Macaca mulatta: one gene and its partner. The protein of the gene in region 2 interacts with the protein of the main gene of each other region in a pairwise test. Links are inferred from orthologs where the notes say so. Each region holds a gene or a part of one and is shown on either strand. Other genes may lie near its edges.

Region 1 (6,181 bases), on a different chromosome or scaffold from region 2:
GCGACGCGTGGCCGATCTGCAGGCCCGGGAAGCCCATGGACGCGGGCTTGCGAATGGGGTTGGGTACAGCAAAGGTCTGCCCGTCCACCACGTGGTGGCTGCTGGCGGGCTCCGGGTTCATGGGGACGTGCAGGGGCCCGTCGAAGCGCATCTGGCAACTAGACACCGGGGTGCCAGGGGGCGATTGCTTAAAGGAGAAGAGGGAGAGGCGGGAAACTGGAGTTTTCCTCTGCTCGATCATGTGCGTAGTGGCCACGTAGTTCTGGTGGAAGTTGTGGAGAGACCCCGGGTCGTCCCACATGGGGCTGTGCTGCACCTGGAAGCCCGGGGTGGTGGGCGTCGGGGGCGAGGAGGGCTTGTAGTAAACCGAACCGGAGTGCGGCATCATCTCCTCAGACTGGGGGGGCAGGTGGCTGTGTTGCTGGTAGTTGTGCATCTGAATGTCTTCTACCTTAATGGAGGACTGCTGTCCGGACAGGGGCATTTGGTACAAGCAAGGTGGCTTGACGTCGTAGCCTGTGCTGTAGTTGTCCATAAAGGTACTGAAGCTGGGGAGAGAAGTGGTGGCAGTGATTTCAGTGTTGGTGAGGTCCATGCTAAACTTGACAAACTCTGGAGTTAAGAAATCGGAGCTGTATTCTCCCGAAGAGTGGTAACTGTAGCTCTGAGAAGCGGGGCTGGCTCCTTGAGGCGAGGACCCATACTGCGCCTGAACACAAGGCATGGCTGGAAATGAAACAGGGTGATACACACTCAGCCTGGTCAACTGAACACTTCCTCCCGGGCTCGGGTACACCTGGAGCTACACCGGCAGCCCGCGGCAGTCAGAGAGCGTGTAGGGGCGCGAGAGGAAGGGCAGGAGAGGGAGAATGCTGCCGAACAACAGTGTAGGGTGTGGAAAGACTGACCAAATAAAGACCCAGAGCTAAAAAGCTACTGAGGGTCCACATTCCTAGGTATTTCCAAACATCTCCTCCATACCACCCCCCACACCTTTTTACAGTCAATCCCACTCAGATGAGCCTCTTCTCTGAAGCTCAGATTCAGCAGTCTCTTTCTAGAAATGACCATCTAGAAATGAAGTTGAATTTCACAATGAGAAAGTTGCTCCCCAAGGCGATGGGTCGGGCAAATCTTAAGTTACAGGGTTTGCCAAGAAGATCGCCTTGTCCTGTTTCTTGATGTTTGGGGAACTCCGGAGAGTAAAGGAAATAAATGAAGTTGCACTAACCTTCAGCCGAGTTACAGGCGTTTTCGAGGAAATTAAAGGTGGACAGTGTCGTAATTCAATGAAGGACAAAGTTTCCAAGATTTTTAGAAAAGCAATGGGGAGTCCAGCCTGTCCAATCTCCTCCCTGAAATACAGACACAGGAAGCTTCAGGGTATCTTCCTGACAGAGATTCAACTGGGCATATGTAGACTCACCAGGCAGGCCCTTCCATGCCTTCCCTGTTCATCTCATTGGAAGTGAGTGGGAAGCCTTTACCAAACACAGCACTTAAAATGAATGTATAAAAGAAATGACTTGAAACAACAGAAAATACTACCCATTGCACTGTGTAAATCCTTGCAGAGAGAGGATCCTGCAAGAGGAAAGTTAGTCCATGAACTCATTTAACATTTATGATGTAATGAACTGGCCCCTTTGCTACAGTGTAGGTGGAGAGGTCATTTCCATCTTAGGTTAATTCAGGACCTGAGTATGAAGACTAGAGTCTGAAAATACAGCATTGGAACCTTCTCTTGCATTTTTTTTTTTCATGTGGTGAAATTGCCTTTTCTTTTGGTAGAGGGGAAGAAAGTAGAAGTCAAGAATATAAAATGAGAAAACAATCTTTCCCCTTATAAAATGTTAGAAAGACCTTGACTGAGAAGGCAATTTGAGTGGAAGCATCCGCATTTCTAAAGTGCTCTTGACAGAGCACTGGGATTGGAGCTGCAGACAAATTGATGTTCACTTTTCCAGAAAACTTGTCTTTCAGCATCTTTAATGGCCACAAGGTGGGAAGAGGGGACCCTACTTTTCCAGGAGTATCTTAGGTCAATTGCAGAGAGGGGACATACTGCTTATATGGTATTGGCACCAATATTAGAAGTGTTTCCCAGAACAGCAAGACGAACACCTTCCCCATAATGCCTTCCACGATCTGCCTTTCTGGAACAAGGCATTCTTGTGTCCTAGTAATTTTCAGATGTTCCCACTTAGAAGGCATTCTAGCGCACAGACAATCTTATTACTAATGAAAAAGAAAGCCAGTATCCTCTCTATTATTTCCCCTCCCCCACAATCTTGCTTCATAGTGGTGGTGGGGGTGGGGGCGGGGGGTGATTACCCAGAAAAAGCAGAAAGGAGACTCGACTTCCACAGCCCTTAGAGATATTCCTGTGTTGGATATTAACTCCCTGGTAGCTCCACAGTTTCATAACTGTACTCTTTACATATTCATATTCTCTCTCTCTCTCTCTCTCTCTGTCTCTCTCTCTCTCGACACATTCGCAAACCCAAGGACAGCATATGTCAAAACCAGAAATTTCAGACAACTTAGTAACAGGACACTCTACCAACACCACCCTTACTCAACAATACCCGGGAAACATCGCGCGCTGGCCAGCCGCGGAGACACAGTTCCCAAGCAACGCATAAACTGAAGAACTTTCTCTCCCTGTCAGTTTGTGGGCAGCTTCCTTCGTATACACAGAACTTGGAGTCTCCGTCTTCACAGGCCACAATCAATTCCTCACTAACAGCAAACTTTGCTCACATTTCCGCGGGCTAGTCCTCAGCTCCCAAACTGTGGAGTCTCCCTTCCACGTCCACCAATGAGGAGCCTGGAAGCCTCTGTCGGGAGCCAACTCCCCACTAGTGCCAAAGCCGGAGTTCGAACAAATGCCCCCCGGTAACTACGCGCACGCACTCCCCATCCTTCGGTCCCACTCTCACTAGAAGCCTCTGGCTCCCACTTCCAAAGAACCTATCCCACACAAGTGGAAAGAAGAGACGTGCAAAAGAAGGAAGAAGCATAAAAGAAGGCGAACTGCAAGGGCTGCATCTACTCACTTAGGAGTTCTCCGCGTCTCTCTTCATTCATTCAACTCTGCCGAAGTGCAGTTCCCTCTGGGAGGCTGGGCGCCGGGGTCGGGGAGGGGTGGGCGAGCTGGGCGAAGGGAGCCCGGACACCTCACGCAGGGAGGGAGTAGGGACAGGCGGCCGGCTGGACAGGCAAAAGGGACCGCGGAGCTGTACGCGAGCCGCCGGGCGGACTGGCCCTGGCCGCCAATGTGCCTTTGTTTATGTGGCTCGCGCTGCCGCTGCCAACATGCACCTAAAGTCTCCGCGCGTCAGCGCGCGTCAGCGGCCCGCCGCCCAATCGCCGCGCCGCCGCGCTCCCTGGACTCCTGGCCCGCGCTCGCTTTGGTATATTTCCGACCTGACGTCACGAGCAGGGCAGATTTTAAGGTGGGAACCGCTCTGCGTTCACCTTGGTAGCCAGCTTGGGTGGTTTTTGGTGTTTTCTTTTCTTTCTTTCTTTTTTTTTTTTTCCGAAAGAGGTGTGACCTCTCCCAGGTCTGCGCAGCCCGCAGTGCCGCGACACTTCATTTTCCCCCAGGCCCCCGCGCCCTCGCAGCTGCTCGGCCGCTCACATGTGGGGAGGGTGCAACAAAAGCCCAGGCGGAAGGGAAGGCCGGCGTGGGCCAGGTAGCACGCACCTGGAGCTGCACGGAATGGGATGTGCCTTGCAGCGCCCTAACCTCTCCCACCCACCTTCGTCACCCCCTTAGCGGAAGAGCGTACAGATGTCCCATGACACGAGACGCTCAGAGGGCTCACGCAGTTCGGGTGGGATTTCCCTACCCGGTTCATCCCCTTTTACTCCCTTTTCCTGTCCTAGGCCGCCTCCTCTTCTGGCATATATTCATTCTCATTCTCTCTCTCTCTCCCTCTTCCCCCTACTCCCACACTCCCATCTGAAAGGGAATGGGAGTGGGGGTAGGGCTTATTTTTCTGTGTTTCCTTATTTCCACGCAGTGCCCACGTTCGATGGAGGACGTGGTGCGTGGGGTTGGGGGGAAGGAGAGGAAGGGGAGAGGGTAGACAGTGACCGTGACCCAGCTCTTTAGAAACCCCAAAAGTCAGAGTGAAGCGTCGCGCCTTTTCCTTTCGCAGACAATGCAGCCGAGCAGCAGGCAACAGGTGCGCCTTCTGCAGAAAGGTACTCTGATTCCCACCTTCTGCAAACTCTAATACTTTCGATACTCCTCGGTGCCCACCAACTTGTACCCCTTCCACGAGTTTTAGAGAAATAAATCGACCTTCGTTTGAAACACAAGGTCTATCACAGCCTCAATCTTAGAACCCAGAAAGACTGGACAAGAAAAGCGAAGCGGGTGGGGATTGGAGACAGCGTCTCCGCAAAGCGTAAGGTGTGAGCCTACAACCCAGCCAGGAGCGTGTCCCACCCCCGCAGCCATCCGAGTCGCCGCCGATTCTGCTTTGCAATTCATTTCCCCTCGCCAGGCCGCGGGCGCAGGGAGCTTTCTAGCAAAGACAACGCCGCGGCTCCGGAGGGCAAGCTCCCTCCCCCAGTCTCCCGGCCGGAGCTGGGCGGGCTTCCTAGGGCTTCTCCCGCGGGGCTGGAAGAGGCTGGGCCTTGAGAGGGAGAGTTCGGAGCCGCCCCCGCTTTTCTACTCGCGCAGAGCGTCCCAGCCGCCCCTCCTTTCTCGGCGTGGCTCGCTTCCAGGCCGACGGGACCCTTTTGCAACTTGCCCCCCTACTCGTGTTCTCAGTACCGGCCGATGGCGCCGTGGAACTATTCGGGATCCCGGGCTGCTCAGCCCTAATCTGCAGCCCCGCCTTTGCCTACTCCCTGCTGCCCCCAGCTCGCCGGTGGCTGGGGAGGCGTTGCCAACAGATGTCCTGCGGCTGCCCCAGGAAGCCGCGGGCTCTTCTGCGCCGCAGCCTCCGGGAAACCTACGTGACCACCTTAAGTTTCCCCCAGATGTTGCGGCTGCCGCTACTGCTGCCGCCGCCGCCGCTGCTCGGCGGTGCCCTAGCAGGCGCAAGAAAAAAATAAAACCAGGAAGTGGGTGGGGGGGCGGGTTGTGGTGGCGGGTAAGGGTGTGTGAGTAGGGGGATGAGGAGGGGAGGGCGAAGAATAGCATATTAGCATGAGCTCGGTAGCGTCAGCGCCCCGTGGGCAGAAGCGATTCCATGCGAACGAAAGGGAAAAAGTGAGAGTTTGGAGAGCCGGGGAGAAGGAAGGGGGTGGGGGTGGCGGTGACGCAGGGGCGCAGGCATTGACGCACCGGCCAGGCTGGGCCCAAAATAGCAGCAACACCAGCTCAGAGGCGCCCTCCCGGGTTCCCTTCCCCTTCCGCGAGAGAGCAGGGCGCGGCCACGGGGAGCTTTCCTTGATCCCCGCGGTGGGCCAGGCTCCCGGCCGCTATTTTCAGGCAGTCGGAAACTCAAGCACAGGCACGCCGGGGTGGCAGTTATTATTTTTTAATATAGTCCTAGGAAAACGGGGGCCGGGAGAACTTTCAGGTTGGTTATAACCACCAGCCTCCATACACACACTCCCGTCTAAGTAGATGCATTCACTCTGCACGCTTCCCCCTCCCTCATTGCCATAAAAAACATTCAGTTTAGGTTGGGTTGAGCCTGGGACAATTTGAAAATGCCGTCCCAGGGAACTGAAAAGTGTCCTGGAGTTCTTCAAGTGAGCGCCAAGGAAGCCAAACATTGTAATGTGATGCGTTATTGTTTAACAGCAACCTGTTAAAGGTGCGGCTTCCTGATAACAGCCTTTGTCCAAGTCTTAATGCCACCAAGAATGAAGGGTCGTTTTCACAGCAGCTTATTATAAGAATTATTATTAACTGGGAATGGAGTGATTATATATAAAATTAAAATGAGAGAAAGGGGAGACCTTTCTTATCTGTTCTATCATCTGTGTAAGAGTTCTCTCCTCTTCAAAGTCCTATTCTGGTTTCTGGGAAGCTTCTACTGTTTCTTAGGAAGACACGCCGGATGTAAGGCTGTTAAACTCGTTTAAACCAATTTTGAATAAGCTACTTCTTAGGCTGGGGTTTCTGTAGGGCCCGGATGAGCTGGGTTGGAAAGGATTCAGCATCTAGATCAGAAAGTGTTTAAAAAAAAAGAAAGAAAGAAAGAAAGAAAAA
Region 2 (6,181 bases):
GCCGTGTTCACCCGCAGCTGCGACGACCCGCGCGGTTCCGGCATGGCGGCTCTGTGGCCCATTGCGCACGCGCATTGAGGACGCCCTGGACGGGGCGGGGCCGCCCTCGGTCCCGCCCGCATCCAATTTCAAAAGAGGCGGACCGCACCTAACCCCGCCCCTGGCTTTTCCGGGATCCCCTTCGCCTCATGACCGCAGTCACCGCCCACCGCTACGCCCCTGCGGGGAAGGCCGCGGCCACCGCCCACCCGCCCCACCCCCGGTGCTCCGGGCACCCAGCTGACATCTGGGGGCCCTTTCTCCACTCGCGGTTTCCTGCTTCCCTTCCGTTCCGACAGCGAAAACCGCTGCCCCACCCAGCTCACTCACCCTGGCGCCCTGGGAATTACTATTCTCTCCCCTCACCCACCGCATCCACGATCCCCGACCCCCGTCCTCATCCCCATCAACATCCGGGATGTGTAACTCTCCATCCCAGACTCAAAAATCTGAAGCCACCCGCGCTGTGATCATGCACAAGTCTTAATTTAATGGGTAAAAACATTAAATTATTACAACATTTTTTTCCAATAAAGCATAATAAATAGAATCCATTTCTTTTAAAACGCTGTACAAGAGACTGGAAAACAAGCTTCCAACAGAATATGAATAACTCATTCTACCTTCTTACTGATTTGGGACTCTCCCCCCACCCCCTGTGCCCGAAGCAACGTGCACACTTCAGGTCTCTGAGCACAGCCAGCCAAGGTCACCAGGTTCTACGCTCCCTGGAGGTGATTTCACTCTTAAACGCTCTGCCCTTGGGTCTTGTCTGAGGCCCCAACAGCCTGGGGCGCAGAAAAAACTGAACCGTTTAGGTGGCTGTGGCCTGCAGGAGCCCTTCTCTGTCCAACACACCAAAAGGAGTGAGAAAAACAAATGAGAAACGTCCCCCAAATACCCACACACCCCAAAAACCAACACCTATAAGCCACAAACTGGTGCTCCTCCCCTACTGCGGCAGCAGGCAGGAGAAACAAGAAGAGAAAGTGTTTCTTCCCCTCTCTTCTGATACATAACCCCACGGGGTTCTCTTCCTGGATAGAGTGACCCCAGATCACAGCGGGGCCACCATGTGCCCCTGCAGGATGTCCACGAGGTCCTGAGCCCCTCTCTGCAGTGCCAGTTCCAGGGGTGTGAGACCCCTGGCGTCCCTGCGATGGAGATCAGATTCAGCCGCCAGAAAGCTGACCACAGCAGTGTGACCCTCTTGCACCGCCAGATGGATAGGAAGTGCCCCGGTGCCATCAGGCGCGTTGACATCAGCCCCGTGCTCCACTAGGACCTTCAGGGTGTCCAGGAATCCAGTGCGGGCTGCGTCATGGACTGGACTGGTGCCGGAGGTGTCCTGGACATTGGGGCTGGCACCTTGCTTCAGCAACTCCAGGGCGATGGCGGTGCTGCCAAACATCATGACCTGTGTGAGGGACAGAGGATCAGGAGGTCCTCAAGGGAGGGGTTTCCAAAAAAGGGGTTACTGGCCGGGCGCGGTGGCTCACGCCTGTAATCCCAGCACTTTGGGAGGCCGAGGCGGGCGGATCACGAGGTCAGGAGATCGAGACCATCCTGGCTAACACGGTGAAACCCCGTCTCTACTAAAAATGCAAAAAATTAGCCGGGCGAGGCGGCGGGCGCCTGTAGTCCCAGCTACTCGGGAGGCTGAGGCAGGAGAATGGCGTGAACCCGGGAGGCGGAGTTTGCAGTGAGCCGAGATCGCGCCATTGCACTCCAGCCTGGGCGACTAAGCGAGACTCTGTCTCAAAAAAAATAAATAAATTAATTAATTAATTAAAAAAAAAGGGGTTACTGGAGAGAGAAGGGTCATCCAGAAAGAGGCATCTCCCCGGAACAGGAAATGCCAGAGGAGGGATCCTCTAGTGAACGGAGAAGCTGCATAAGCCCCCAGGGGACTGTTTGAGATGCAGAGAAAAAGTTCTCCTGGGAATAGGGACCCCCCCCAAAAGCTGGTCACTCCCTTAAGAATGAGACCCCCCAACCCAGAGAACAGCCCCCATGGAAACTTTCAAGGAACCTAAGACTCTCCCGCAAGGGACCAAAGACGCCCCCAGATATGGGCAATCACCAGGAAATATAAAATCCCCTCCAGGAAATGGGCCCCCAGAGATGGAGAACTACCCCCAAAGAATTGATAGTCCTCATAAGGGAAAAGAGATGTCAAAGGAAAGCGAACCCCACCCCCTTCTCCAGGAATTAGCCTCCTCCTGTATAATGGTGATGTCACCTCAGAGTACCTGAGAGCTCCCTTCAGGAAGCGGGATTCCAAAAGCAATAATAAAAGAAGAGAAAAGAGACTCCTCTCTAAACTCTCCCAGGGAATATAAGGATGTCTTGCGATCTGACACTGTTCCTCCACTGGGGCCCCCACACTATAGCTAGGATCCGCATAATCTTTAGGAATGAAGACCCCACCCCCAAGTAACCAGATATGTCTCAGAGAGCCCCCTACAAAATGAGGAACCCCTGGAGACAGGACCTCTCCTTCCAGAGATCGGATCTCCCCATAGAAGCCCCAAGAAACGTGAGCCGTCCCCATGGAAACGGTATCCAAAGGAGCTGAACCCGCACCCACGGAATAAGAACCTCCCCAGGGAAAGTGAATCTTCCGCACTCAGAGAACCAGGAATCCTCCCAGAGAAGATGCTAAAAAGCTCTCCCCTCCCCCCACAACCTAGCCTCACCCACCACCCACCTTCGAAAGGGGACCGTGGGGGAACAATGAAAGCCTAGAGAAGAAGGACCGGTTTCCAGTGGGTCACCACCAGGGCCAGGAGACCAGAGGAGAGGGGCTCTGGGGTCTCGATCCTCACCCCGCCGAGCCACCCCGCCCCCGACCTGGGCCGGCCCGGCCTCACCTGCAGCGCCGTCTTGCCGAAGCGGTTGAGGGCGTCGGGATGCACCAGCTCGCGGTGCAGAAGGCGGCGCACCTCCTGCACGTCGCCCCGGGCCGCGGCCCCACTCAGCCGGTCGCCGGAGCGGACCTCCTCCAGCAGCATGTCGACACTGACGGCCTGCGAAGACCCCCGCCCCGCCCCAACCCGGCGCTGTCAGCACGGAGCAACCGGCGGGCGCTGGCCCGAGCAGCCCTCCCGGGACGCGGCCGCGGTGCGCCCGGCTGCTCTGCACTCCCGGCCCGGCTCCCCAGCCCAAGACCCCGGCCCTCCCAGCGGGCTCCTCCCCCTGTCAGCCGGAGGCAGGCGAGGGGCTGGGAGCTGGGCCCAACCCTCGGCCGCCGGCGGGGCCCTGCCCGGCGCCCGCCCCTTGGGGGCCGGGTCTCCCCCTAACTCACCCTCCCTCCTCCTTGCCGGGCGGGGTCTGCTCTGAGCCTGCGCCGCCGCCGCCGCCGAGGCAGCAGCCAGGGGGCGGAGCCAACGTGCTCCCGGCCACGCCCCGAACGCCGCGGATTTGTTTTCTTACAAACTCGCTACTGTGTAGCGAATCCGCGTTGCCCGGCGCGCGACCTTACGGCGTTCCTCCCGCAGGGCCTGCATAACCAATGGCTGCGCGTCGCCGGGGAAATTTCGAGCTCGGCGTGAAATGCGTTGTTCCTGATTGGTCAGAGCTCAGCAACCGATGGACCGCCGGCAATGGCGGGGTTTTCGGTTTTCAAATGAACCCGGCAGGCGGGAAAGACGGCCGCTTTAACTGACCCAGGGAGAAAGGTCAGGGGCAGGGTAGCGCGGGCTGCTCTGGGACCTCGGCGCCTCCTGGGGGAAGGGAGGCAGGGCTGGGGCCACCCAATCCGAGGTCCCACTACTAATAGATATTCATTGGCCCTTACTACGCGCTGGGCGCTTTATTTCATTCATTCATTCATTCACTGTGTGCAGGGGGCGTCCTGGGAGCTGGACGCGCACATTCAAGCAACTAAATAATATTAGATAGTGTCAAGCACCGTAATAAAGGGAAACGGGGAGACGGGGTGGATGAGGAAGGGATCACCCTGACTGGCTCAGACTGAGCCAAGAGGAAAGGAGCCTGCAACTGCCACGTGGGAAGGCCTGGGAGGACATAGTCGCAGCCAGACAGGGACTCAGGTCTTCGCTCAAAGATTTACTTAGTACCTCCTAGAGGTTCCCGAGTGGAGAGCACGCCAGGAGGCCCCTGCTGCAGGGACACCTATGGTCTGGGGCCAGAGACGATAGTTAATTTTTATTTATTTATGTATTTATTTTTGAGTCAGGGTCTCACTCCCGTCACCCAGGCCGGAATGCAGTGGTGCGATCACAGCTCACTGCAGCCTCGACTTCCCCGGCTCAAGTGATCCTCCCGCCTCAGCCTCCCGAGTAGCTGGGACTACAGGGACTACTGGCTAATTTGTATTTTTAGTAGAGACGGGTTTTCACCATGTTGCCCAGGCTAGTGTTTTTTGTTTGTTTGTTGTTTGTGTTTTGCTTTTAAATACACTTCTTTTTTTTATTTTGGGGTTCTTGCTATGTTGCCCAGGCTGGTCCCGAATTCCTGGGCTCAACGGATCCTTCTGCCTTGGCCTACAAAACTGTTGGGATTACAGGCGTGAGCTCCAGCGCCCCGCCAATAGTTAAATCTTTTTAGAATGGTAGAGGCGACTGACCCGATGAGCCTAGCCGTTGAAACAGAAAGGCAGTGAGGGCCTCCCTGAGGAGGTGACATTTGATTTGAGACTTAAAGGTGAGGGAGGGAGACTTGTGGTTATATGGGGAAAAGCGCACCAGCTGGGAGGCACAGCAGATGCTAAGGCCCAGAGGTGGGAGTGTGCCTGGTGTGGTACAGAGGAGGGGACAGCAGGTAGGTGGGGGATCGGGGTGGCACTTGTGCAGATCAAGCCGTGGCTTTTTTTTTTTTTTTTTTAGACGGAGTCTCGCTCTGTTGCCCAGGCTGGAGTGCAGTGGCGCGATCTTGTCTCACCGCAAGCTCCGCCTCCCGAGTTCACGCCATTCTCCTGCCTCAGCCTCCTGAGTAGCTGGGACTACAGGCGTACACTGTCACACCCGGCTAATTTTTTTGTATTTTTAGTAGAGACGGGGTTTCACCATGTTAGCCAGGATGGTTTCAATCTCCTGACTTTGTGGCCCGCCTCGGCCTCTCCAAAGTGCTGGAATTACAGGCATGAGCCACCACGCCTGGGTTTTTTGTTTTTGTTTTTGTTTTTGTTTTCTGAGACAGTCTCTCTCTCTGTTGCCCACGCCTGACCAGGCCATGACTTTAATAAGATAGGAACGCGGAGCGCAGTGGCTCACGCCTGTAATCCCAACACTTTGGGAGGCTGAGGCAGGTGGATCACCTGAGGTCAGGAGTTCGAGACCAGCATGGCTGACATGGTGAAATCCCGTCTCTATTTAAAAATACTAAAATCGGCCTGGAGCAGTGGCTCACGCCTGTAATCCCAACACTTTGGGAGGCCAAGGAGGGCGGATCATGAGGTCAGGAGTTTGAGACCAGCCTGACCAACATGGTGAAACCCCGTCTCTACTAAAAATACAAAAATTAGCGGGGCATGGTAGTGTGCGCCTGTAATCCCAGCTACTAAGGAGGCTGAGACAGGAGAATCACTTGAACCTGGGAGGTGGAGGTTGCAGTGAGCCGAGATCACACCACTGTACTCCAGCCTGAGCAACAGAGCGAGACTTCGTCTCAAAAAAAAATAAAATAAAATAAAGCTGGGCACAGTGGCTCATGCCTGTAATCCCAGCACTTTGGGAGGCCGAGGAGGGCAGATCATGAGGTCAGGAGTTCGAAACCAGCCTGGTCAACATGGTGAAACCCCATCTCTAATAAAAATACAAAAATTAGCTCGGCATGGTATTGGGCGCCTGTAATCCCAGCTACTCGGAAGGCTGAGGCAGGAGGATCACTTGAACCCGGGAGGCGGAGGTTGTGGTGAGCCAAGATCGCACCGCACTCCTCCAGCCTGGGTGACAGAGCGAGACTCCGTCTCAAAAAAAAAAAAAAAAAAAAAAAAAAGGCGGGCGTGGTGGTGGGCGACTATAATCCCAGCTACTCTGGAGGCTGAGGCAGGAGAATTGCCTGAACCTGGGAGGCAGAGGTTGCAGTGAGCTGAGATCAGGACACTGCACTCCAGCTTGGACTACAGTGAGACTATCAAGAAGGAAAGAAAGAAGGAAAGAAGGAAAGAAGGAAAGAA

What was found.
Region 1: the proteins of CDKN2D (region 2) and NR4A2 interact in binary tests that used the Homo sapiens proteins (3 or more experiments, as listed by UniProt). The two-hybrid records come from large-scale screens. The link is inferred for Macaca mulatta from reciprocal best matches to the Homo sapiens genes CDKN2D and NR4A2.

Annotation. Positions count from the first base shown.
Region 1 is NC_133417.1:61,213,960-61,220,140, forward strand, and holds the start of NR4A2 (nuclear receptor subfamily 4 group A member 2), read right to left. Parts: upstream 3,149-6,181; 5' UTR 3,060-3,148; intron 1,356-3,059; 5' UTR 1,232-1,355; intron 727-1,231; 5' UTR 725-726; coding exon 1-724. UniProt on the Homo sapiens protein: Transcriptional regulator which is important for the differentiation and maintenance of meso-diencephalic dopaminergic (mdDA) neurons during development.
Region 2 is NC_133424.1:11,287,702-11,293,882, forward strand, and holds CDKN2D (cyclin-dependent kinase 4 inhibitor D), read right to left. Parts: upstream 3,203-6,181; 5' UTR 3,054-3,202; coding exon 2,913-3,053; intron 1,457-2,912; coding exon 1,097-1,456; 3' UTR 560-1,096; downstream 1-559. Other genes in the region: protein KRI1 homolog, read right to left, coding at 1-62. UniProt on the Homo sapiens protein: Interacts strongly with CDK4 and CDK6 and inhibits them.